6 linked regions of the Xenopus tropicalis genome follow. The protein of the gene in region 3 purifies or fractionates together with the protein of the main gene of each other region. This does not show direct contact. Links are inferred from orthologs where the notes say so. Each region holds a gene or a part of one and is shown on either strand. Other genes may lie near its edges. The genes, in order: slmap, fgfr1op2, stk26, cttnbp2, sike1 and cttnbp2nl.

Region 1 (4,115 bases), on a different chromosome or scaffold from region 3:
GCTGGACTCTGTGGTACCGCGGTGCCCGGTTATCGGGAGGATTCTTACCGCTTCTGAATGCGAGACCGGCTTCTCCCCGGGCTTGGCTCCCCCTCCGCTAACGGCTTCCCCCACCTGTCAGAGTTCCCCGCACCGACCGGCTGCCCTCAGCTTGCCCACTTCCGGCTCCTCCTTCCACTCAAGCCTGGGCACCCAGGGCCACCTGCCCACCCCTAGCAGTGCCTCCCCCAGGGTGTGTATCCCTCATACCTGCCCCACAATCACTTCCGGCTGCTCTGCCAGACTCATTTGCCCCAAGGGTGGGCACCTCTAGGGCAGATTCACTGTTTCCTGCCTCCACTCATATCTGCCCTGAGCCTGGCACTGTTACCCCTCCCTGGGTTAGGCACCACTATCTGCCATCTAGCCTGCTTACCTCTGTCAGTTTAACTAGTTCCTGCCCCCAGGTGTCTGATAATTGCCCCCAGAATCACTGTAAGCACAGCCTGCCTTTGCCAGGATTGAAACTGCAAATTTACCCCCAGCTCTTAGTTTAGATACTCAGACTGATACCCCCCCACCCCCTCGTTCTTAGTTTAGATACTCAGACTGATACCCCCCCACCCCCTCGTTCTTAGTTTAGATACTCAGACTGATACCCCCCCCACCCCCTCGTTCTTAGTTTAGGTACTCGGACTGATACCCCCCCCACCCCCTCGTTCTTAGTTTAGATACTCAGACTGATACCCCCCACCCCCAGCTCTTAGTTTAGGTACTCAGTCTGATACCCCCCCCACCCCCAGCTCTTAGTTTAGATACTCAGACTGATACCCCCCACCCCTCGTTCTTCGTTTAGATACTCAGACTGATACCCCCCCACCCCCAGCTCTTAGTTTAGATACTCAGACTGATACCCCCCCCACCCCTCGTTCTTAGTTTAGGTAGTCAGTCTGATACCCCCCCCACCCCTCGTTCTTAGTTTAGGTACTCAGTCTGATACCCCCCCCACCCCCCGTTCTTAGTTTAGATACTCAGTCTGATACCCCCCACCCTCAGTGTTTGGCCCATTAGTCCATACTTGATTACCTTTGATAACTGACTCCCTTTCCATTCGTCAAGCTTACAACTGCCCTAGCCCCAATATTACATACCCCTGCTGATAAATACTGGTAAACGTTATATTACCCCCCCCCTCCCCAAAGCCCGGATACCCATCTCCTTATTAGAGAGAAATCTTCCCTCCCTATGCAGGCACTGGGATAACCCTGTATTGTGGGCATCACTGGGCCTGTTCTACTGAAATCTGCCCCTCTGTTTCTGCCCCTCTGGGAGTCCAGTTGAAACCTTCTGATCTCTGCAGCCCCAGTCCCTGCTGTTTCCATTTAACACTGACATCCTGGGTTTGTTTCATATTCTGTGTACTGGATAACTGTTTTTGGCAGCGTCGGAGTCCTTGGGGGGGGTTTGGACTTGCCATTTGCTTGGCATAGAGTGGTAAAGAATCCCAAGCAGACTGGCACTGTATGACGCTGCTAAGGCTTTACTGGCACTAACGGAACAGTAGCTAACCCTTGGATTGTGCATGACTTGGAAGCAGGCAAGGAAAGCTGTTTTCCATCTGGCATATGTGGCTATCTCTGCTCTTCCTGATGATGGATTAAAAGTACTTTGGAGGGCAAGTTAAACCCAAGGTGTTGGAGGCAGTCTTGCATGGGACCAGTATGGAGCATTGGCCGGGGAACTGGAAGGATTGTTTACAGACTGGTCCACACTCCTTTTAGCCAAATTGTGTTATGAATAGGTGATACGCTCCACAGAAATCTGGTGATCACAGCACAGGGCTGCCTGGACCAGCCTTTGTTCCTAATTAGATTGACCCACTGCCCAAGCTGTCTCAGATGCCTTCAGCCTTGGCAATCTTCACCTGCCGCCCCAATTCCCACCCTTTCCAAGAGCGCCATGTCTACTTGGACGAGCCAGTCAAGATTGGCCGCTCTGTGGCTCGCTGTCGCCCAGCACAGAACAATGCAACCTTTGACTGCAAGGTGCTGTCAAGAAACCACGCACTTGTCTGGTTTGACCACAAGACTGGCAAGGTAATAATCTTCTGGGCTGAGCGCGCTCAGTACACGTTTACCTGATTTCTGTGATCCCCATGATTAGGCGGCCTTATCTCCGGCTTGTTCCAGCAGGAGGGCTGAAGCCGCTCTTTTTGCTCTGAGGCTGAAAGGAACCCATATGGGTTTTGGGGGGTTACGTTTATTTTTGAAAATGGAAAATATGTGCTGTTGCGTTTTGCGCTACAAGCTGACACTTCTGGTATAAATCCCCCTAGTGGTGCTGGTTCCATTGGGGGGAAACGTTGTCCCGGTAAGACACAAGCTGAGTTTCACTGGGTTTTCTTATTTCTCACAAACCTGCGAAACAGGAATAGAGGCAGGGCAACGCGCTCTTGGAGTCTTTTGTGGCACTTTATTTGTCTGTGGGTAATAACTAGTTTGTAAGCACCCTGTAACTAGCCAGCATATGAACCATAATGTCCGCCACTGGCTTTCCGCTGAATACTTGCCCTTTCTCACCAGATGGCATGCTGGGTTATTTATCCCCTATGTAGTAGTTCTCAGTGGTCTTGTGATATAAATTGGTTTGTTTGTATCTGTTACAGATTGAACCACAGGTCTTTGCTGTGAGTCAGCATCGCTCTTTCCCAGACTCGCCTCTCTATGTAATATCTGTAGAGCGGCTACTCCTGTTTTCAGGGTCGGTGTTATAAACAGCCCAATTGGGACCGTTATGGTAGGGCTCCCTACACAAGGTGTTGCCAGCTGGCACAGGGTTCCAGGGTTGGGTGGGCAAATAGTCCCTGCCTCTCACTCTCTCCATGTGACTGATGATGTAACTGGTGCTTATTCCTGCTGGTGAAGAGCCCCCATGGGTGAGGGACCCTATTGGGCCCAACAGGCCTAAGGCCGGCCCTGCCTGTTTTGATCAGAAGGGCATGATGGGACTGAAAGTGAAGGCCGGTTGCCCCTTGCTGAAAGCAGATGGGTGAAATTCCTGCCCCTGCAGAATAGCCAGCTGAACTTGGTCATAAATAGTTTTTTTTTTTTCCCCAGTGCTTTAAAAACAAATATAGATAAGAAATAAAAATATTCGATGGGGCAGTCTACACACGTATGATTCTTTCCTGCTTCATTATGTTGGATTTGTGTCTTTAAATGCATATATTTTGTATCAAATGATACAGCATTTGTTATCTATTTAATCTCATCTTAATGCCAAATAGGGATGTGTTTGCAGATTCCATAAATCAGCCATAGGGCAGGTGTGGTGCTGCAACTCCCAGCATGCTGCAACCTGAGTGCCAAGCAGCATTACACAGTAAATCCCCAGATTCTTTTCTTTTCAATGTAATACACTATTCTGTATCAGTGACCTTCTCTTTTTCTCAGGCTTCAGAACAGCATTGTTTTTAATGATTAACTCTGCCCTCTCCCTGCAACCTGCTCAGGCAATTCTCTGCTTTGGCTCTCTGCAACTGCCTGTATATATACCCGGGTTTGGCATGGCAGTTGGGTTTATTTAGATCTTTTTCTCTTTCAGTTTAAAGACAGGCATTGTGCATCAAAGCTGATCTGTCGCCTCTCAGCTGGTAGATAGATGTGCCCTGGCAGCACAGTTGTTCTCATAATGGTGCCAGCTACTTAATCTAATGGGTCAGTGTAATTTGGCCACCCTTGTAAATAACCCATTGGAACAATATGTCATTGGTACGCCTTTAGGCTGCCTTGAGTTAACTTTTAGTATGATGTAGTGCAGAGATCCCTAATCTTTTATACCCGCGAACCACATTTAAATGGAAATGTGTTGGGGAATAACACAAGCATGAAAAAGGTTCCTGGGGCCAGCAATAAGAGCTATAATTGGCTACTTATTAGCCCCTTTTTGGACTGGCAGCCTACAATAGGCTCTGTTTGGCTGTACACTTGGTTTTTTATGCAGCCAATACTTGCCTCCTTATCAGAAATTCAAAAATAAGCCCCTGCTTTGAGGCCACTGGGAGCAACATCCAAGGGGTTGGTGAGCAACATGTTGCCACTGATTGGGGAAAACTGATGTAGAGAGTAATATTCCGA
Region 2 (4,144 bases), on a different chromosome or scaffold from region 3:
AGTGAGGGTGCCAGTCAGTGAGTGAGTGTATGTAAGAGTGAGGGTGCCAGTCAGTCAGTGAGTGTATGTAGGAGTGAGGGTGCCAGTCAGTCAGTGAGTGTATGTAGGAGTGAGGGTGCCAGTCAGTGAGTGAGCGTATGTAAGAGGGAGGGTGCCAGTCAGTGAGTGAGTGTATGTAGGAGTGAGGGTGCCAGTCAGTGAGTGAGTGTATGTAAGAGGGAGGGTGCCAGTCAGTCAGTGAGTGTATGTAAGAGGGAGGGTGCCAGTCAGTCAGTGAGTGTATGTAAGAGTGAGGGTGCCAGTCAGTCAGTGAGTGTATGTAGGAGTGAGGGTGCCAGTCAGTCAGTGAGTGTATGTAAGAGTGAGGGTGCCAGTCAGTGAGTGAGTGTATGTAAGAGGGAGGGTGCCAGTCAGTGAGTGAGTGTATGTAAGAGTGAGGGTGCCAGTGAGTGAGTGAGGGTGCCAGTCAGTCAGTGAGTGTATGTAGGAGTGAGGGTGCCAGTCAGTGAGTGAGTGTATGTAAGAGGGAGGGTGCCAGTCAGTCAGTGAGTGTATGTAGGAGTGAGGGTGCCAGTCAGTCAGTGAGTGTATGTAAGAGGGAGGGTGCCAGTCAGTCAGTGAGTGTATGTAGGAGTGAGGGTGCCAGTCAGTGAGTGAGTGTATGTAAGAGTGAGGGTGCCAGTCAGTCAGTGAGTGTATGTAAGAGGGAGGGTGCCAGTCAGTGAGTGAGTGTATGTAAGAGTGAGGGTGCCAGTGAGTGAGTGAGGGTGCCAGTCAGTCAGTGAGTGTATGTAGGAGTGAGGGTGCCAGTCAGTCAGTGAGTGTATGTAGGAGTGAGGGTGCCAGTCAGTCAGTGAGTGTATGTAGGAGTGAGGGTGCCAGTCAGTCAGTGAGTGAGTGTATGTAGGAGTGAGGGTGCCAGTCAGTCAGTGAGTGTATGTAAGAGGGAGGGTGCCAGTCAGTCAGTGAGTGTATGTAGGAGTGAGGGTGCCAGTCAGTGAGTGAGTGTATGTAAGAGTGAGGGTGCCAGTCAGTGAGTGAGTGTATGTAAGAGGGAGGGTGCCAGTCAGTGAGTGAGTGTATGTAAGAGTGAGGGTGCCCAGTGAGTGAGTGAGGGTGCCAGTCAGTCAGTGAGTGTATGTAGGAGTGAGGGTGCCAGTCAGTCAGTGAGTGTATGTAGGAGTGAGGGTGCCAGTCAGTCAGTGAGTGTATGTAGGAGTGAGGGTGCCAGTCAGTGAGTGAGTGTATGTAGGAGTGAGGGTGCCAGTCAGTCAGTGAGTGTATGTAGGAGTGAGGGTGCCAGTCAGTCAGTGAGTGTATGTAGGAGTGAGGGTGCCAGTCAGTGAGTGAGTGTATGTAGGAGTGAGGGTGCCAGTCAGTGAGTGAGTGTATGTAGGAGTGAGGGTGCCAGTCAGTGAGTGAGTGTATGTAGGAGTGAGGGTGCCAGTCAGTGAGTGAGTGTATGTAGGAGTGAGGGTACCAGTCAGTGAGTGAGTGTATGTAGGAGTGAGGGTGCCAGTCAGTGAGTGAGTGTATGTAGGAGTGAGGGTGCCAGTCAGTCAGTGAGTGTATGTAGGAGTGAGGGTGCCAGTCAGTCAGTGAGTGTATGTAGGAGTGAGGGTGCCAGTCAGTCAGTGAGTGTATGTAGGAGTGAGGGTGCCAGTCAGTCAGTGAGTGTATGTAGGAGTGAGGGTGCCAGTCAGTGAGTGAGTGTATGTAGGAGTGAGGGTGCCAGTCAGTCAGTGAGTGTATGTAGGAGTGAGGGTGCCAGTCAGTGAGTGAGTGTATGTAGGAGTGAGGGTGCCAGTCAGTCAGTGAGTGTATGTAAGAGGGAGGGTGCCAGTCAGTGAGTGAGTGTATGTAAGAGGGAGGGTGCCAGTCAGTGAGTGAGGGTGCCAGTCAGTCAGTGAGTGTATGTAGGAGTGAGGGTGCCAGTCAGTCAGTGAGTGTATGTAAGAGGGAGGGTGCCAGTCAGTCAGTGAGTGTATGTAGGAGTGAGGGTGCCAGTCAGTCAGTGAGTGTATGTAAGAGGGAGGGTGCCAGTCAGTGAGTGAGTGTATGTAGGAGTGAGGGTGCCAGTCAGTGAGTGAGTGTATGTAAGAGGGAGGGTGCCAGTCAGTGAGTGAGTGTATGTAAGAGGGAGGGTGCCAGTCAGTGAGTGAGTGTATGTAGGAGTGAGGGTGCCAGTCAGTCAGTGAGTGTATGTAGGAGTGAGGGTGCCAGTCAGTGAGTGAGTGTATGTAGGAGTGAGGGTGCCAGTCAGTGAGTGAGTGTATGTAAGAGGGAGGGTGCCAGTCAGTGAGTGAGTGTATGTAGGAGTGAGGGTGCCAGTCAGTGAGTGAGTGTATGTAAGAGGGAGGGTGCCAGTCAGTGAGTGAGTGTATGTAGGAGTGAGGGTGCCAGTCAGTGAGTGAGTGTATGTAAGAGGGAGGGTGCCAGTCAGTCAGTGAGTGAGTGTAGGAGTGAGGGTGCCAGTCAGTCAGTGAGTGTATGTAAGAGGGAGGGTGCCAGTCAGTGAGTGAGTGTATGTAAGAGTGAGGGTGCCAGTCAGTGAGTGAGTGTATGTAGGAGTGAGGGTGCCAGTCAGTCAGTGAGTGTATGTAGGAGTGAGGGTGCCGGTGAGTGAGTGAGTGAGTGAGGGTGCCAGTGAGTGAGGGTGCCAGTGAGTGAGGGTGCCAGCCATTGCCCGTACTTACCCTGTCACCCCACAAGCGGCAGATTCGGTCCCAGAGCTCCCAGCCCTTCCGTTTCCGCCCTGGTCCCGTCAGTGAAGCCAAACTCAGCTGAAACCGCAGGTGACGCTACGCGCATGCCTTCTGAGAACCTGTCAAGGACGTCACTTCCGGTGCAAAGGGCCGCCCTGAATATAATTCCGACTGGAAAACTGTATTTCACAGACGTTTCGCTGCTAGAGGTCCGGCTCCCTACAGCGCAAAGCCCTCTTGTAGCGGATATTCGCTCACAGTATCTTCCTGCTCATCTATTAAATTAGCCAATCACTGTATCTCCAGGCGATTAGTGCCCGCCCCCCTGGATAAGATCTACTAAAAACAGAAAGCGGCAGGGACCAAACAGCATGAAAGGGCAAAACGTACGATTAATGGGGTAGCGATGAGCTGCTCAGGCCTGTGACGGGAGGTGAGTAGGGAAGGACACAGGGGTACCCAGGGGCACCCTAGGACTTGTGGGACGGGAGTGCAGGGGGGGCAGGATTTGGGGAGTAGAACTGGGAAGAGAATTTGAGGGAAATGGAAGGTGGGGGGGGGGGGGGGTTCTACAGTTCATGAGTCTGAATAGTATGAGAGGTGGGAGCTGCCCTACTGCTTGTGTAGCCCCGGCACCAACATGTCTTCTCTCTCCCTGTAAGGTCAGAATGGTGAGAAAAGGAGACACCCCAGGTGCATCCAGACTCCCTGCATCTCGTCTGTAACGGCCATTGTGTTCCCCCCATCCCTGCATCACCCCAGCCCAGGGGGCAAAGGGTAAGTACCATGGATATGAAATATATACTGCACTCCATAGGTACAACTGGTTACATTGAATTGTAAGCTCACTGGGACTGAGGGGAATGTGATGGGGACCTTAGATTGTAAGCTCACTGGGGCAGGGACTGATGGGAATGGGATAGGGACCTTAGATTGTAAGCTCACTGGGGCAGGGACTGATGGGAATGGGATAGGGACCTTAGATTGTAAGCTCACTGGGGCAGGGACTGATGGGAATGGGATAGGGACCTTAGATTGTAAGCTCACTGGGGCAGGGGCTGATGGGAATGGTATAGGGGCCTTAGATTGTAAGCTCACTGGGGCAGGGGCTGATGGGAATGGGATAGGGACCTTAGATTGTAAGCTCACTGGGGCAGGGGCTGATGGGAATGGTATGGGGCCTTAGATTGTAAGCTCACTGGGGCAGGGACTGATGGGAATGGTATAGGGGCCTTAGATTGTAAGCTCACTGGGGCAGGGGCTGATGGGAATGGGATAGGGACCTTAGATTGTAAGCTCACTGGGGCAAGGGGCTGATGGGAATGGGATAGGGACCTTAGATTGTAAGCTCACTGGGGCAGGGACTGATGGGAATGTGATAGGGACCTTAGATTGTAAGCTCACTGGGGCAGGGACTGATGGGAATGGGATAGGGACCT
Region 3 (3,942 bases):
AGAGAGACACACAAAAAAACCTTTCATGCTTCAATGGTACTATTATGTAGTGGCTCATTCCTCATAACCCTTTTCTCTACTATCTCTATAATCTTTGTTAGTTGGTATTTAGTGTGTACATCCAGACTGATATCATGGGTAGGGGTCCCACCACCATCACACATGAAGAGGCTATTCAAGTAAAGCAGTAGTGTAAAATATGCAGGAAGGAAAAGCAAATGTGAACAGAATGTAGCAAAATGTTTGTGCCAGTCTTTACAGCAGTAACATGCCACTAGGGGAATTTGTTGACATACTGAATATATTGTGGCCCAAAAATTAGATTGATCTTCTAGTATATTTTTAGCTGGTAAACAGATAACTGTATATTAGCTGCAATCATAAGAAAACAGAGGGAGCTTCTAGGGCTGATTACTCAGGTATGGTAATGCTTTCTGCAGAATAAATATAGTGTTCTAGGTGGCACTAATGTGGTGAATCTGTTGGCAGTAAAATGCCAAAATGACTTTCCTTCTCCTTTAAGCCTCTACAGAACATGCTCCACAAGCTTTACTTAAGTCTTCTTATTCAATAACTGTAAAAGTGTGATACCTAGAGTAATTCTGCACTTTTTAGAACAGTTATTGTAAAAAGTGGAGTCTTCTATAACACATTCGCGCCACCTTTCTTCATAATGAGAAAGTAAAACTTTGTAATATTAGGAGGCTGTAGCCTACAGAACACTTTCTCACAAGCACGGCTATTTATCCTACTTTGAGAAGAGCCAAGGTCACCTATTAAGTAGGATAGTTTAGTCCTAGTATAGGAGCAGAGCCCCATTGAGGCATTGAGGGTTCTGGAAGAATCAGTTCAATACCAAATTAAAGCAGATTCAGTCAGACAGAGATATTGTAAGAGTCACCCTGCATGACTGACATAACAAAATGGAAAGTCTGCGACGGATTTGCCTCGTTATGCAAAGCTTCCCAGCCCTGCCCAGGTAGCATGACATCTTCCTAGTCACCTTTTCACATACTAGCGCTCAATGATCGCTTGGGGCGGGGCCGCCTGACATCACCACAACCCCACGTGACCGGCTTCAGTCAGACTGCGGCTCCACCCTGCGTGGCTTCAGCTGCAGCCTTCAGTCCTCTCCCAATATGGCGCCCCGAGCTTGCTGAGCTTCTACCCAGGCTTTCAGTACTTGGACCTTCACCGAGAAATGGTCACAGTGTCAGGCTGCAGACGGATAGCCACGGATAGCCAGAGCAGTGTTTGAGCAGCAGCGGGCAGCAGCAATCCCCGCTCGCACCCCACCGCCAAGTCGGAGTAGGAGGCCTTGACGCCGCCCGCCATGGCTCACTCCCCGGTAGCCGTGCAAGTCCCAGGGATGCAGGTGAGCTGCCACGCAGAGCATACTAGAGCTGCGAATGAGATTTCTCTGTGGCTTTATTAGCCGGCAAACCTCTTGCCCGTTTCTATGGGGCAAAGTCTTTCCCGCAGGATCTTACGATACCTAAGTCGTACCTAAGCAGGATCTTTAGGAAAGCCTGGGCACTGCCAGTTCTCAAGGGGTTGGCAATACCTGTAGTTATAGCCTAGGCACAAGTAGAAGGGCTAGGGCTGGGAGAATCTGAACTTGAAGCTTAGGCACAGTCGGGGGCTGTGTGTATAACATTGGCACTGTATATCCGGAACTGAGAGGCTGAGTGCCAGTACCATAAAGAATCGAACCTTAGACCAGGGTAGGTTCTGTGTCTATAGTATGGGCCGGCTTGGCTTTTCTACATCCTGACACATACAAAGAGGTAATGTCTGCTACCTTGGATTGCTGTAGTTATTGGCCAGCCGAGTAAAGGTTCCCACACCGTCCCAGAAATTCTGCACTTTACTAATACATGGAACTCGCCTGCTACGTCATTAGATAAGATCAGGGATGTCGCCTGTGTGACCCTTGCGACTAACATTGACCGCTCAACCCCTGTGTCAGATTCAGGCAAATCTGCTGAATAGATTGTGTTTTGCACCTGTATATGGAACTGACATTTCAAAGAGACGATAGAAGAACCCCAAGCCAAGCACAGACGTCATCAGTTCACTCCTGTTTGCATGGGTCTAGACACTGTCTGAAACGGGCATACACTGAGAGCTTATACACAATACTGTAAATATTACTGTACAGTAACACACCTATGCTAAACCAGGGCTGTTATATGCTGCCCGCAAGTTGCCCAGCATCATTTATGAAATGTGTTTGCTTTGAGTGCTAGTTCTTACCCGCGTTTAAAAGTACAGGTATGGGATCCCTTATCCGGAAACCCATTATTCAGAAAGCTTCAAATTACAGAAAGCACGTCTCCCATAGACTCCATTTTAATCAAATAATGCAGAATTTTAGAACTGATTTCCTTTTTTTCTGTAGTAATAAAATAGTACCTTGTAATTGATTCCAACTAAGAAATAAATAATCCTTATTGGATGCAAAACAATCCTATTGAGTTTAATGTTTTATTGACTTTTTAGTAGACTTAAGGTATGGAGATCCAAATTACGGAAAGACCCCTTATCCAGAATACCCTTGGTCTGAGCATTCTGGATAACGGGTCCTATACCTGTATCATATCCATGGCTTGGCCAGAATGCATTTATCAATATGGTCAGGGTGTCTTCCTCATTCTGTAATGTAAGACATCTAAGGCACTTGACTAAATACTATGGGTATGCCAGTATTGCTTGTATGCAATAAATGCTATATTTATTAATGTATACTGTACTAACAAAAAAGAGAAAAGCCCAATCTATGTGGCACACAGGTCATCCCACCAAACACTCCAAAATCTATACCCCTGAGTGTAAATAAACCAGTTATACAGTCACTCAGTGGGCTTCTTGGTGCTTGTGGTGTGGCACTTTAGCAGTACGAAATGTATGACCCTAAGTTGTATTGTCATCTTTTATCATTGTCAGTATTCTAAATTTAATATTTTGCAGTGATGAGCTTGAACTGATCCATTATCAAGTTCTCAACCCCTTTTACTGAGGATAAACATGTTACTCATAGTACCCACTTCATACATCAATGTTGGAATTGCTGTTAGGTTTACAGGTGTGTTCAAGCAATGTTCTTATATGCATTTTACATTACTTCCAAGAACAATATTGTAATGAAGACAATTTAAGTACAGAATCTTGAGTTAGGTGCCATGTTTGTATATTTGGAATTAAAATATACGCTTTAAAAAAGCATGGGCATCAAGAAGCTTTTGGCCCTTAACCAAAGTTTAAAGTGAGGTTAATAGTTTACATAAACTTAATGATCTTTAGTAATATTATTCTTTATATAGCATAAACATGTTGTGCATTCTTTTGAGATCCTGTTTATCATTTTAATTTGTCCTTGCACAAGTGGGGCTTACTCTACCACATGCATATATTTTGGGAAGTTTAGGGGCCCAATATATCTCTGTTGTTTTAATCTCTGTTTTATTTATAACTAATTCACAATAACGTGAAGGCCTTTCTGTGTTAAGTATGTTAAGAGTCCTGCTGGTTCAAATTATGTAGGTACATTGGGGTTTGGGTTGTGTATGGCAACTTGCTCAGCTTCTTTCAAAATAGCTTCTCTCCAGCCTTCTGTATTTTCTGATGATGCAACCTTTGATTTTTTGATTACATGGCTTCTGTGTTTTAGAGTGGGCAGCAGGTAGCAGACAGGGTTGTGGGTTTGGTAGCTTGTCAGAGTGGGGAAAAATGCAGGTCATGTGTGGATCTATCTGAATAGACCCATTCAGGTATCTAATGTATGTGCACTTGTTAACTTTCTTTATACTTGACCTGTTCTCGAGACCTGTGCCTATAATTAAATCAGAATACTTGTTAGTTATTTATTGTCCCACAATTCCATGTTGAAGTTTTCTACCGTTTCATTCCTCAACAACAAGTGAAACTTGTGAAACTTTATAA
Region 4 (3,500 bases), on a different chromosome or scaffold from region 3:
GGTGGATCAGTAACAGGGATCAAGCAACCTGAAACACAAATAGCCAGAGACCATTATATCAGAAGAGTGCTCACTATAAAAAATCATTTACAAGCAATAATGATATTATGTTAATTATGGTATTACTTTGTTAAAATTCTGTTGTAGAAATAAGACTAAACTTCAACTGCTTGGTATGCCACTTTTTACTTACAAATGTATTTTGTGCCTAAATTTGGCCCACTGACAAACAGGAAATAGAGTAAACTTATTACTTAAATATCTGAAGTGAATCAAAAATCCAGTATCAGGCAGAGAAACTCACAGATGCCATGAAGTAATGGGTAATTGCACAAAGCCAGAGAATATTGACAATTCTTCTCCATAAATGCAAAACAGGTTTTCTATAGTCTTCCTGATAAAACATTTTTATCCTATATAGTTTGGAACCAAAAATGTGTTCTAATACCTTTTAGGGTGGCTTCATGTGATAAAATAATGATAAAACTAGCTTTTTTTTTTTTATAAAATAGAAACCAGTATGCAGAATTAGATGGATAAGTGTTACCAAAAACTGGTTTATAGCCAAAGTAGATTACTTAGGTCCCCTAAGAAAAGATAAGGCACTCTCATTACAGGCAGCCATATCGTTGAAGTTAGAAAAACTATGAAAAGCAGGTTAAAGGAACAGTAACACCAAAAAATGAAAGTGTATAAAAGTAATTACAATATAATGTACTGTTGCCCTGCATTGCTACAACTGGTATGTTTGCCTCAGAAACACTACTATAGTTTATATAAGTAAGCTGCTGTGTAGCCATGGGGGCAGCCATTTAAAGGAGAAAAGGCACAGGTTACTTAGCAGATAACAGATAAACCCTCATTATATGGGGCTTATCTACTAGTTATCTGCTATGTAACCTGTGCCTTTTCTCCTTTTTTCCAGCTTGAATGGCTGCCCCCGTGGCTACACAGCAGCTTATTTATATAGTAGCTTTTCTGTAGCAAAAACACCATTTTTTGCAGAGCAAAAGCACATTATATTTTAATTACTTTAAAACACTTGAATTTTTTGATGTTACTGTTCCTTTAATGAACGTGACTGGTTCCTTTTTTTGGAGATACTTTATAAGAAATTACCTATAATATTCCTAAAAATTACCTATAATATACACCAAGGAATGTTTAGTTAAAGATGGCAGAACTTCATACAAAAGGAACTATAGACATCTGTCTGGTTTGTAAGGGGCTGTTTTATTCAGGTATATGGCAGAGGATTATAAAACAGCAGATACCAGACAGCATTTTCCCAACACCTGGTATCAATGAATAAGACTACTTTCCCCGTTAGTCCACTCTCGGTTGGCATTAATGACACTTGTTAAACATATTATATTTGCCTGGCCAAAATCTAGCTGAAATTCTAGTTATTTCACACTTTTGTCACCTGAATTGATGCATATGCTCACAAGCTGTTCTTTGGTTAATTCAGGGTCTACCTCCACTTTCACTATATCACATCTGAATCCAGAAGCCTCTTCTTTTTGCTGTTAAGAAAAACACAGACAAGAATGATAATGTATTTGCGAATATATAATTTCTAGACAAACAACCTCATTTCAGCATTAACAGAGGGGGAGGTGCAATTCAGCAACAAGAGAGGATGACTTTTCTAGTTGTAAATACGATTTCCTACCTTTATGTAATATGCCAGCTGCTGTACTATGTACTCCTGCAAGCTTCCTTCCGGGCCTTGAAAGATCACATTGTGATACTGTTCAACCTAATGAAAACATTTAAAAGAAGAATATATTTGTTACTCTCGTTTGGTTGTAAAGTTAGAAACATGAAATAAACTATACTAAGAGACTGTAGCTCTTCAGACAGGGACATCATCCCAACTGTGAACTGAAACTCCTATAATACCTATATCACTTGTAAAGCACACCATACTATGTAAATAAATACATTATCATTTTATACCTGGTTCATTGGAATTATTTTTTACTGTATATTTTTATACATTACCATAATAACATATACATAGAAATGGGAAATAGAGCTATAAAAAAAATATAAGCCCTTTACAGTGAAATTAAACAGAATATCAAATTGTTATGAAGGGAATACTTCCTACTAGGTCCCTGAGCTCTTGCTACAGCTTCAATAATTAATTTACCCATAGTATCAATTAGCCCACAAGAGAAGGTTGTTTTAGAAAGTAGGTATGAAATAAGGCTAGGAAACAACCCACAAAAGTTTGAAGAGTTTGTGATTAGTGATTTTGACTATGCTGTGTGACCTTTCTACATAATGCTCCCCCCATGCTAATTTCCATACTGTTGCTTTTACAGCAGTATAGCAGACACACACTTCTAGTATGGAAATACTATTTGTAGACCATTAAGTTTCCCAACACCTGGGCTAACAATTAGAGTTTAATGAGAGTTTGTGTATTTCTGCTTACTTGCCTTAATGGCTATGGAAGTCTGGACATTCTCACATATGGCTATACATTCTTGGCTTATTTTTTATGGACTGAGAACTGATAAAGTAAAACGTATTGTGTATTTGCCATATGAGATCAGTTTTATCCAATATAAGGACATTTTAAAGTTATATTTGGATATATAGAAGCCAAATGTTTCAAAGAGCACAAAATATCTGATTTTACTATGTACATTAAGTAGCTGCATTAGGTAAATATAACAAGGGTTTCTGGAACTAGGTTAATTGCTTCTCTCTTCTGACACCACAATGTGAGTAACATTAGCAAACAGGGATAAAATCACTGTGGGCAGTAGTTAAAATGCTACTAAAATACTATTCTATGATAGGGAAGCTTTTTAAAAACAATGTTTTATGGTTGCTTGATTTACAACTTGTCTTAAATATAGTCTAAACAAGGAATGATTGAATATGATTATTTCTTCCACTGAAGTAATAACACTAAAACTGCTATTTCAAAAATCAAACACAAGGTGGCAGAAAAAGCCATCAGATCTAAACATAACAGGCAGCTATTTTGCATGTTTAACGTGTTCTACAGCAGTGGTGCTGAACATAAGAAAATGTGCAATTTTTCACTTGTACAAAGCCACAATGTTTAATTTTTTACTTTCAAAGTTAAAGTTTCTCTGGCAGTTTTGTAATTGGCCAGGGGTGTCAGGTGGCCTAGTTTTAGACAATTGGAGGCACCATGTGAGATGTCTTTGCACCCCACTTTGCTGCAAAGCCTGAGGTGGGAGGACTCAGTAGGGGTAACTAGATCTGTGTTGTGAAATCCCATCCAACAGTTTTATCACTAAAGACTGGGGAAACAAGTTTGCCTTTTCCCTATCCAATTCTTTCAGAGGTAAAGAAAAATAGAAGATAAAATGATCCCATTGTTACAATTAGTATATTATTACTAAGACACTTCAGAATGCGAGGCTTTAGTAATCAGAGCCTGGGAAAATTAACAGCCTACAAATGAAGCACACCAACTAGATGACCATTTACAAAATGGAAACCTGGAACAT
Region 5 (4,135 bases), on a different chromosome or scaffold from region 3:
AATGAATATTGTAAAGGTTTTTGTTTTTTTGTCCCTGACCAAGCTAAAAGCAGGACTCATTAACATAAGCCATGACATCTTTATCCCCTGTATTGATCAATATTGGTATGTTTCATGTATTCACCCTTCTATTGTATAGCACTGTGGAATATGTTGGTGCTTTATCATTCCATTTCTTCAGAACAGTTTAAGCTTATGCACATGGGGCGTTTTGTCCACCACTGCATTTTAAAGGAAAAAAGCTGCAGTCTGCCATTTGAAAGTGTACCTTCCATCTGTCATTACCAGTAATGTATTTTAAAAGGAAAGCTCCGTGACTGATGCGTACCAATAGGTGACAAATTGAGCTACCTGAAAAAAAACTCAAACACTAGTAACACGAAGAGCTGCGAACTCCGTTAAGTTTCACAGGAGTTAACCGTTTAAGCACCCTTCCGCCACAATATGGCAGTCCCCTTATTTTGTTTATTAAAACTGTGCAGTGAGCATTCTGCTCCAAAAAAGAACGTTAACATATACAATAAGCACCTATTGACAGCTGTGGGGCATTGTGCGCATACCCAGTGACATGACCGTGTACCTGCAATAAGCCATGCCCACAATTTTCTGGAATTTCCCCCTTGATCCAGACCCAGACTGAATCTGCTGATTCTGGCAAATATCAGAGGGGCTGCTGTAAAATGCTATTTGGGCCCCTGTGTACTTGAATTGCTGAGACTTACTTTGAATCCCAGTCTGGCTCTGCTCCAAACAGCCATTTCTAGGTTGACAGCTCTGGTCAAAAGTGATAATAAACCTCTCTGGTCCTTATGAGACCTTGATTACCATCACGGTTGCCACCTTTTCTGAAAATACCCTCTTTCCTATATTTTAATCGATATACAGTATACATACAGAGCTGTCAACCCCCCCTATTTGTTCGGGAGTTACTAGATTTTGGTGGCGCGGCACAGGTCTCCCTTCCCTCAGCAGCATTCTCCTCATGGGGCTGGCAATTCCATTCTTTATCACCAGCAAGTATAGGCAGACAGAAGCACTTTCAACGCTACATTAACTCCATAAATGCAAGCCCCCAAGTAACATAGGCCTAAAACCACACTGATTCCAGAAACAATAATATATAGGTCTAGCCGTTTTAAAGCCCTTTATAACATGTTTCTACTATTTCCAAATTGCAAAATTCAGGCACCATCATTCGCATTAGCTTGTAACGCATGCGCATAGCAAACCGGAGAAGCCGGATCCGCACATGCGCAGAACCGCTTCCCCATCCAGGATTACAAGTTCTCGCGATAGAGCCATGTTTGGTTCTTACGTAAAGTGCGTGCTGCGTATGGCGGCGCAATTGGGTGAGTTTATCTGTGTTTTCAGATTTTGCCTCCGCAATTTTGAGTTAACACAATGTATTTGTTACTGACAGACTCTGGTAGTGGGTTTTGTGCTTTGGCGGGTTAAGGGTTGTTTTTTTATCACCTGGACAATTTCCAGGTTGGCAGGTTGAATTCGTCTTCTGTTTTTGCCTTAGGTTGTTAAAATCCATATAGTAATACTTATCCTTCCAGTAACAAGCGGACTTTTGCCTTATATTAACGCACACTTTTTTTCAATTTATCCTTTTTAGCTTCCAGCCCTGCTTGCGTGTACCTGTGCTTGCTTAGACAAAGACCAAGGTCTCAGATTTTATATCTCAAACAATGGTGATGTTTGTGAACTCTCAACCAAACCAGCGTCGTTTTATTGACTTCCAGGCGGGCAATGGTAGTGACAGGGCGGGGCTTGAGGGCACAGTGACCAATAACAGAGCGGGCAGGGCAGCCTTCTACAGCTAAAGAGTTAGGGTGACATCATCTGGATTGTGATGTGTAATGCATGCTTAATAAAGGTAGAGTTGTCCTTCTAAGAACCATAACTCCTTGATTGTCTCTCTCTCCAGGCTGTACTTATTTTGATCTATTTTACCAGCAGCTGTGTGGCAATACTGGTTGATAAACACCACTGAGAAAGTACAAGTTCTACATTCCATTAAAGGGCCCCATTCATTATATTGTATTTATTTGTCTGAAATTAGTAACCTTTAGTGGAGACTGGGCAGTAGTTTGACGATTTAAAGGCAAAACTTTAGTTGGTATTAGATAGGAAAGTGTTTTACCTTCTCAAACAGCAATGTCAGTGTGCTTTATGGCAAAACAATACAGCTAGGATATATATATATAGATAATTAAATTTTGCTTCACAAGTTGTAATGTAATTATGAATAAGGTTTTGGTTGTAGTGGAGGTAGTCATTCAGGTTCCGGTAGGGCTGAGATATCCACATTTGCTGAAAAAAGAAGCTGTTTAGGATACAGTGCTTTTATTAGTACTTAACTGGTGATAAGCAAAGTTCAAATTTCATTCATGACTCTACAGACCTATAAAATAATAACCTTTATCATTCAAAACAGGACTATTCCTGTCAAGAAATATCTTGTTTACAGTTGCCGTACAAATGTATTATAAATGTATAAAAAGTGTTACATTTTGATGTTCATGTTCCTTTAAAGGAGAAGGAAAGTCATTTTGGCATTTTAATGCCAATAGATCAGACACTGGAACGTCATGTTATTCTTTTGATAGAGGACTTAGTGCAGCATTACTTTATGATAAAGATTACTTAGTTTTTACCTTTCCTTCTCCTTTAAGGCTGGTAACACATGGGGTGGATTCTTGGCCTGCCTTCATATTAAAAGAAATATAGTTTTACCCTAATTTTTACTTTTCAAGCCTTTTACAAAAAAAGAGACAAGAAATGCTGTGTTTCTTTTGATAGAGGACTCAGTGCAGCTTTTCTGAGTGTTTATGGCTGTATTTACATAGACCTTTCTGATAAAGCTTACTTAGTTTTTACCTTTCCTTCTCCTTTAAGGCTGGTACCACATGCGGCAGATTCTAGGGCCTGCCTTCATGTTAAAAGAAATATAGTTTTACCCTAATTTGTTCTTTTGAAGCCTAGAAAAAAAATGCTTTCTGGCTTAACTGATCCCAGAAGTTTTATTCCTTTTCAGGCTTATGGGTAACCATGGGTAACAGCTGGCTTGGTACAACTTCTCTGTCAGCCCGGTCTTCACCAACACCTTTTGGAGCCCTAGAACTTTCTGCTGCAGAACTGACACTGCAATTTCATTCATCTTCTCCTAAATTAGCATTTGTTCTATCCTTGAATAGTGAAAAATCTGCTCATTGTTTGCACAAAAGAAACTGGGACCCTCTAATGACTCCACAAAAGAAAGCCCATAAACTAAAGATGACTTTTGCTCAATTTCACCATTGTCTTCTCCTAAATTAGCCATAGTTTTGTCCCTAAACTGTGAAAAATCTGGCCTTTGTTTACAAGACACAATAGAACTCTGAGTATAAAAAACAAAAAAGGTTACTTAAAGGAGACATATTGGATAAATGGGGAGCAACGCTAATTTTGTAGGCAATTATGAATAATATCCGGTGCTGGTTTCACTTTGTGCTAAAAATAAATTCTCTCTGTAAAAATGGCCCCTTTATTGGAGCTCCCTATAGATCCTCTCACTTCTCCCTCCAGTGTGAAATGGAGAGTGGGCGTGTCCTAACGGTCCCTGCCAGATACACAGTAGGAGGGGGAGAGCCAATCACAGCCCTGCACTCACACAAGCACAGACAGGCTTCAGTTCCCTATCAGGTCAGCCTAGCTGCTGATTGGTTCCTATCCTACAGTGCAGGGTACGGAGGGCCGCCGGCTCCCCAGCTCATCCAGAGAATTCAGCCAGCAGGAAGTGGCACAGATGGGCGGGGCTAGTGGGGGTTTTGTGGAATTTCTCAAAAAATCAGTCAGAAACACAACTTTTTAAGCACAATCCTTCTATATCTAGAGGAGTATAATTCCCTGGTACATTCATCATTTTTATAGGATATGTCTCCTTTAATTTTACCTGATCCTAGAGGTTTTGATGGTGGCAGGTACCAAATGTAACCAGAAAGGTGTTGATTTTTGCTTTTTTATTCCCTGGCGCAGGTGTGAGCTCTGAGAAGGGTCAAAAAATTTACTGTAGGTTAAATATTAAGAGGAGAAGCTCTTGCGGTGACCATATTGCCAGAAGTCACTAGTAAACTAAAGTCTTTTTGGA
Region 6 (4,296 bases), on a different chromosome or scaffold from region 3:
GTTGCGCAGTGAGGAAGAAGGGTACAGGGGTTTGTGGGAGGCAGCTGGATAGTTTATTAAAAGGATAAATGAACACTTCTAGTAAATGTGGAAAAGTGTCAATATCCCTTTAACAGTTAAATTTAGTTTAACATATGTCCAAAGCTGTTTGAAACCTCACATATATGAATGAAAAGGCAAAACTTTTGTTTTTCACAAGACTTGAAAATCAGATCTGACTTCATACACATAAACAGAAATCACAGCCACTGACTTCTATTAAAGTTCATTGCAATTTCTGGGTGTGAGATTACATAAAAAAAGGTTTAGTATGCACATAAAATATGCAAATGCACACTCTGAAATCACATCTGACACATGAGGGCTGATTCACTAAAGTGCGATAAAACGTGCGCTATTTATAGCGTGCGTTAAAAATTTTATCACGTCTAAATTTTCGCGACTTATCGCACGATTCACTATAAGCATACTTGCGCTAATTTACGCGCGATATTGCATGCGTTATTTAACTCGCAAAGACTAATTTCGTTCGGTATTTGACGGTACATGCGCTAATTAACACCCGCGTATAGTCGCCACAAATAGATAGTAGCCGCATATGAATTGTCGCCACATATAAATGGTAGCATATAATTAGTAGCTGCTTATAAATAGTAACTGCTCTGTTCCGCTTATCTTTAGCGAAAAATTTGCAATGTCGTGCGGGCAAAAAAATTGTTGCCCGCGACTATTTATATGCGGCTACAATTGATGAAATGTTTCGCCAGGCATGGATTCGTGGCGAATTTTTGGACGTGCGGCGAATTTTTCCACGGGGAATTTTTTCATGCGTTTCGCAAAACAATCCGCCAATGGCAAAACGCATGAAAAAATTTGCCGCGAAAAAAATTGTCGCACGTCCAAAAATTCGCCTGGCGAAACATTTCATCAATTGTAGCCGCATATAAATAGTCGCGTGAAGAAACGCACGCCATGTTAGCCATACATGCCAATACTTTCGTAAAATTACTGTATTAAAAATGACCATTTCCCTGCAAACTGGAGGCTGCGTCACTCTAGGGCCAACACATACTTGAATAAATAGCATTGCAAAGTCCATATTTTATTGCCAAAAGCTCATTTACTGTACTTTTCTATAATTATCGCCTGCCTCCAGTAGGTGTTATTTTTCGCATAGCCTAATGCGATATTTAGCGCGCCTAAGTGATTGTGAATCATGCGTTTGTATTCTTTTCAGCGCGCTATTTAACGCATGCGGTTGCGCAAAAAATAACGCATGCGATACGCGACTTAACGCACATGGTAATACTGTAGTAAATCGCGCGCTAATTTTCGCGTCTATTTTAACGCAAAAAAAGTGCGATAAAATTTATCGCACTTTAGTGAATCAGCCCTGTGGTGTTGCAGTGGGTAATACTGCATATTTGCCCTGCTGGGGTCCAGGATTCGATTTCAAGGCTTTTTGTTCATCCCATGTCTATGTGGGATTTCTCTCAGTTTAAATACATAAAGGTAGTCTAATTGGCTCCTCATGCAACTGACATTAACCTGCTTGTATAATTTTGGAGCGTAACAGGAAATCTGATTACCCAAAGAAACTCACTCAGACATGGGGAGAGCATGCAAACTTGAGCTAGTGCCCAGGCAGATACATTTTCTGATATTTACATTAAGACAGAAAAATGTATTATAGAGGGTGCTATACTTTAAAGTCATTGTAATTTACTCCAAACTTCTGAAAAGTCATTAAACAGTGGAAATATTTGGTAAAATAAAATAATAATAATTCTGAACGAACGCATTAGAATAATATGTAATCCAGTAATTTTTACAAACACATCTGAGTATTAAAGCAGTTTGCAGCCCTATATTGTATGCAGTATGATTTCAATGAGCCTGCTGGGAACTGTAGTCCAAGTTGGAGGGCCAGGTTGGCTAGTTGTTACAGGCACCTAACATGACAATATAGAACAGCAATCTCTGCTTTAAAGCACCAGCGGTCCAATCAGAAAAATAAGAATTAAACCAACTTGCATTTTTGTAACAATACATCTTTGTTTTGGTTTTAAATTCATCTACCCAGTCAGGCTCACAAGCAGCACAAAGACAAAGTAGCAGCAGCAGTTCCAATGCAGAGTGTAAGGATGTGCAGTGTCTGAGCACCACCATCCAGCAGCACGGTATTGAAGCACAGCTGTACAGAGCAGCCTTGAGAGGCCCCCTTGGAACAAAAACGCTGCCTGATGCCTTCCAACCAGTTAGTACTCCACGGGCCCACCCAAACCCCACTCAAAAGCGTCCCGACACTCGTGGAAATAAGATTTTGTCACTTACACTTCTCCTCCTTTGTTGCAGAACAGGACACAATCAGGCAGACTGCAAGGAAGGTTTCCTCCCAACTCTATTCATTGAGGACAGCCCTCTCCTTTTCAGAGCACCATGTAAACAGGCAGCGGATTGGTTCTCCTGGTCACCCTTAGGGATTGGGCTGCTGATGGGATAGGCTGCGTTCATTGCACTCAGCCAAGCCTTGCTCGGTACAGTCTCTGCCAGACTGTGGGCTGGAAAGAGGCTACTGGCAGGGGAGAGGAACAGTGTGACTAAAACTAATGTGTCCTCCCTGCGGCAGCTAGTTCCTAATGTATAAAGGAACTGTATACCTTTTAAGTCGATGAACTAGTTGGAAGAAAAATAGCGAATGTTTACGCTATACCGCAGATAGTATTATGGTTAATAGTGTGAATGAAGCCCAAATAGGGCTGAAATGAAGTTAGGCTGGGACCCCTTCCCCCTTTAGCCATATGGTCATTCAGGCAGGGCCTGCTCCCTCCCCCGGCCAGCTCCAGGTAGAACAATAGAAGGATGAGCAGTGGAGGGAAAGAGAGGGGTGGGCTAGGGGAGGGGACTTAGGCAGAGCAAGGTATGTAATGGGATGTATGTTTGTTAAGGCCACATTCTTACTTGTTTCTTGTTTCAGGATCGGTGCCCGTGGAGGATTTGGCAGAGTCTGGATCAGCAGCAGGCATCAGTCAGCAGAAGTGATTTTCGCTTGAATAATGCAGACCTCCCAACTGTCCCGTTTTACGCGGGACAGTCCCGATTTTGCCACCCTGTCCCACTGTCCCGGATAGGCGCGGATCTGTCCCGCTTTTTAAAGGTCTCCGCTCCCGTGACGTCACACGCATGTCTCCCCTTAGCGCCGCAGCTTCTGCACCGCTCACTTCAGTTTTAACAAAAAGCCATTCACAGTGCAGAAGCTGCGGCGCTAAGGGGAGACGTGCGTGTGACGTCACAAGGATGAGAAGAAGAGCCCTGGGGCGCAGCCGAGGAAGCTGGTGGTAGGAGCAGGGGGATGCTGGGGAGGACACTGGAGGAAGGTAAGGGGCAGCTGGAGGATGTTGGGGAGGATGTTGGGGGGGCTGAAGGATGTTGGGGGGAGCTGAAGGATATTGGGGAGGATGTTGGGGGGAGCTGGAGGATGTTGGGGGGGCTGAAGTATGTTGGGGAGGATGTTGGGGAGCTGAAGGATGTTGGGGGGAACTGAAGGATGTTGGGGGAAACTGAAGGATGTTGGGGAGGATGTTGGGGGAGCTGAAGGATGTTGGGGGGAAATGAAGGATGTTGGGGGGGCTGAAGGATGTTGGGGGGAGCTGAAGGATGTTGGGGAGGATGCTGGGGGGAGCTGGAGGATGTTGGGTGGATTCTGCAGTGGGGAGCAGCCCATAGTAGGGGGACACTGGGGGAGGACCAGCAATGTTTTAGGGGGTCCCTGCTCTAGCGCCAATGCAAAACATAACACCTGGCTACCAATGTCTGTCATGAGTCTGTCATTAAATACAGGTGCCACAGTGCATAATGAAATCCTTAGGGCCACAATATGTCATAAAATGATTGGGGCCACCGTGTCTGTCTTCTGGTGCACTTTGTATATGTTATGCTTTTCAGGTGTGGTTTTGTAAAATGGGCCTGTTTGGGGGGGGGGGCGTGGCCATAAAGTGGGCATGACCTAAAAAATTTTGCCGTGGCAGACATTTTTGTCCCTCCTTCTGATTTTCAAATGTTGGGAGGTATGATAATGGACGCCATTGGTGCAGGAGTGGAATTGCCCAGGAGGAAGATCCTTCGGCCAAAAAGGTTCCGGGATGGAGGGGAGCAGGGGGAGTTGTTGTTAGGAACCACGCGGAAGAGGAAGGTGAGGTATCTTTTGCAGGAGGAGAGGAACTCCAAACGTCCGGTGCTGGGGAAAAGGCCGGAAGAAGGCTGCCACTGTCACCAACGCAAACCACGAAAGGGTCG

Evidence for each region.
Region 1: the proteins of stk26 (region 3) and slmap purify together in Homo sapiens (affinity purification with mass spectrometry; 5 studies listed by BioGRID and IntAct, with this or other methods). This does not show direct contact. The link is inferred for Xenopus tropicalis from reciprocal best matches to the Homo sapiens genes STK26 and SLMAP.
Region 2: the proteins of stk26 (region 3) and fgfr1op2 purify together in Homo sapiens (affinity purification with mass spectrometry; 4 studies listed by BioGRID and IntAct, with this or other methods). This does not show direct contact. The link is inferred for Xenopus tropicalis from reciprocal best matches to the Homo sapiens genes STK26 and FGFR1OP2.
Region 4: the proteins of stk26 (region 3) and cttnbp2 purify together in Homo sapiens (affinity purification with mass spectrometry; 4 studies listed by BioGRID and IntAct, with this or other methods). This does not show direct contact. The link is inferred for Xenopus tropicalis from reciprocal best matches to the Homo sapiens genes STK26 and CTTNBP2.
Region 5: the proteins of stk26 (region 3) and sike1 purify together in Homo sapiens (affinity purification with mass spectrometry; 4 studies listed by BioGRID and IntAct, with this or other methods). This does not show direct contact. The link is inferred for Xenopus tropicalis from reciprocal best matches to the Homo sapiens genes STK26 and SIKE1.
Region 6: the proteins of stk26 (region 3) and cttnbp2nl purify together in Homo sapiens (affinity purification with mass spectrometry; 4 studies listed by BioGRID and IntAct, with this or other methods). This does not show direct contact. The link is inferred for Xenopus tropicalis from reciprocal best matches to the Homo sapiens genes STK26 and CTTNBP2NL.

What each region holds. Positions count from the first base shown.
Region 1 is NC_030680.2:148,084,927-148,089,041, forward strand, and holds the start of slmap (sarcolemmal membrane-associated protein), read left to right. Parts: upstream 1-1,315; 5' UTR 1,316-1,877; coding exon 1,878-2,075; intron 2,076-4,115. UniProt on the Homo sapiens protein: Associates with the striatin-interacting phosphatase and kinase (STRIPAK) core complex, forming the extended (SIKE1:SLMAP)STRIPAK complex.
Region 2 is NC_030679.2:2,582,840-2,586,983, reverse strand, and holds the start of fgfr1op2 (FGFR1 oncogene partner 2 homolog), read right to left. Parts: upstream 2,801-4,144; 5' UTR 2,697-2,800; intron 1-2,696. UniProt on the Homo sapiens protein: May be involved in wound healing pathway.
Region 3 is NC_030684.2:67,411,607-67,415,548, forward strand, and holds the start of stk26 (serine/threonine-protein kinase 26), read left to right. Parts: upstream 1-1,142; 5' UTR 1,143-1,333; coding exon 1,334-1,375; intron 1,376-3,942. UniProt on the Homo sapiens protein: Serine/threonine-protein kinase that acts as a mediator of cell growth. Modulates apoptosis. In association with STK24 negatively regulates Golgi reorientation in polarized cell migration upon RHO activation.
Region 4 is NC_030679.2:68,596,453-68,599,952, forward strand, and holds part of cttnbp2 (cortactin-binding protein 2), read right to left. Parts: intron 1,763-3,500; coding exon 1,676-1,762; intron 1,527-1,675; coding exon 1,427-1,526; intron 29-1,426; coding exon 1-28. UniProt on the Homo sapiens protein: Regulates the dendritic spine distribution of CTTN/cortactin in hippocampal neurons, and thus controls dendritic spinogenesis and dendritic spine maintenance.
Region 5 is NC_030678.2:53,677,257-53,681,391, forward strand, and holds the start of sike1 (suppressor of IKBKE 1), read left to right. Parts: upstream 1-1,335; 5' UTR 1,336-1,349; intron 1,350-1,680; exon of another isoform or gene 1,681-1,882; intron 1,883-4,135.
Region 6 is NC_030678.2:60,444,976-60,449,271, reverse strand, and holds the start of cttnbp2nl (CTTNBP2 N-terminal-like protein), read right to left. Parts: upstream 2,801-4,296; 5' UTR 2,335-2,800; intron 1-2,334. UniProt on the Homo sapiens protein: Regulates lamellipodial actin dynamics in a CTTN-dependent manner. Associates with core striatin-interacting phosphatase and kinase (STRIPAK) complex to form CTTNBP2NL-STRIPAK complexes.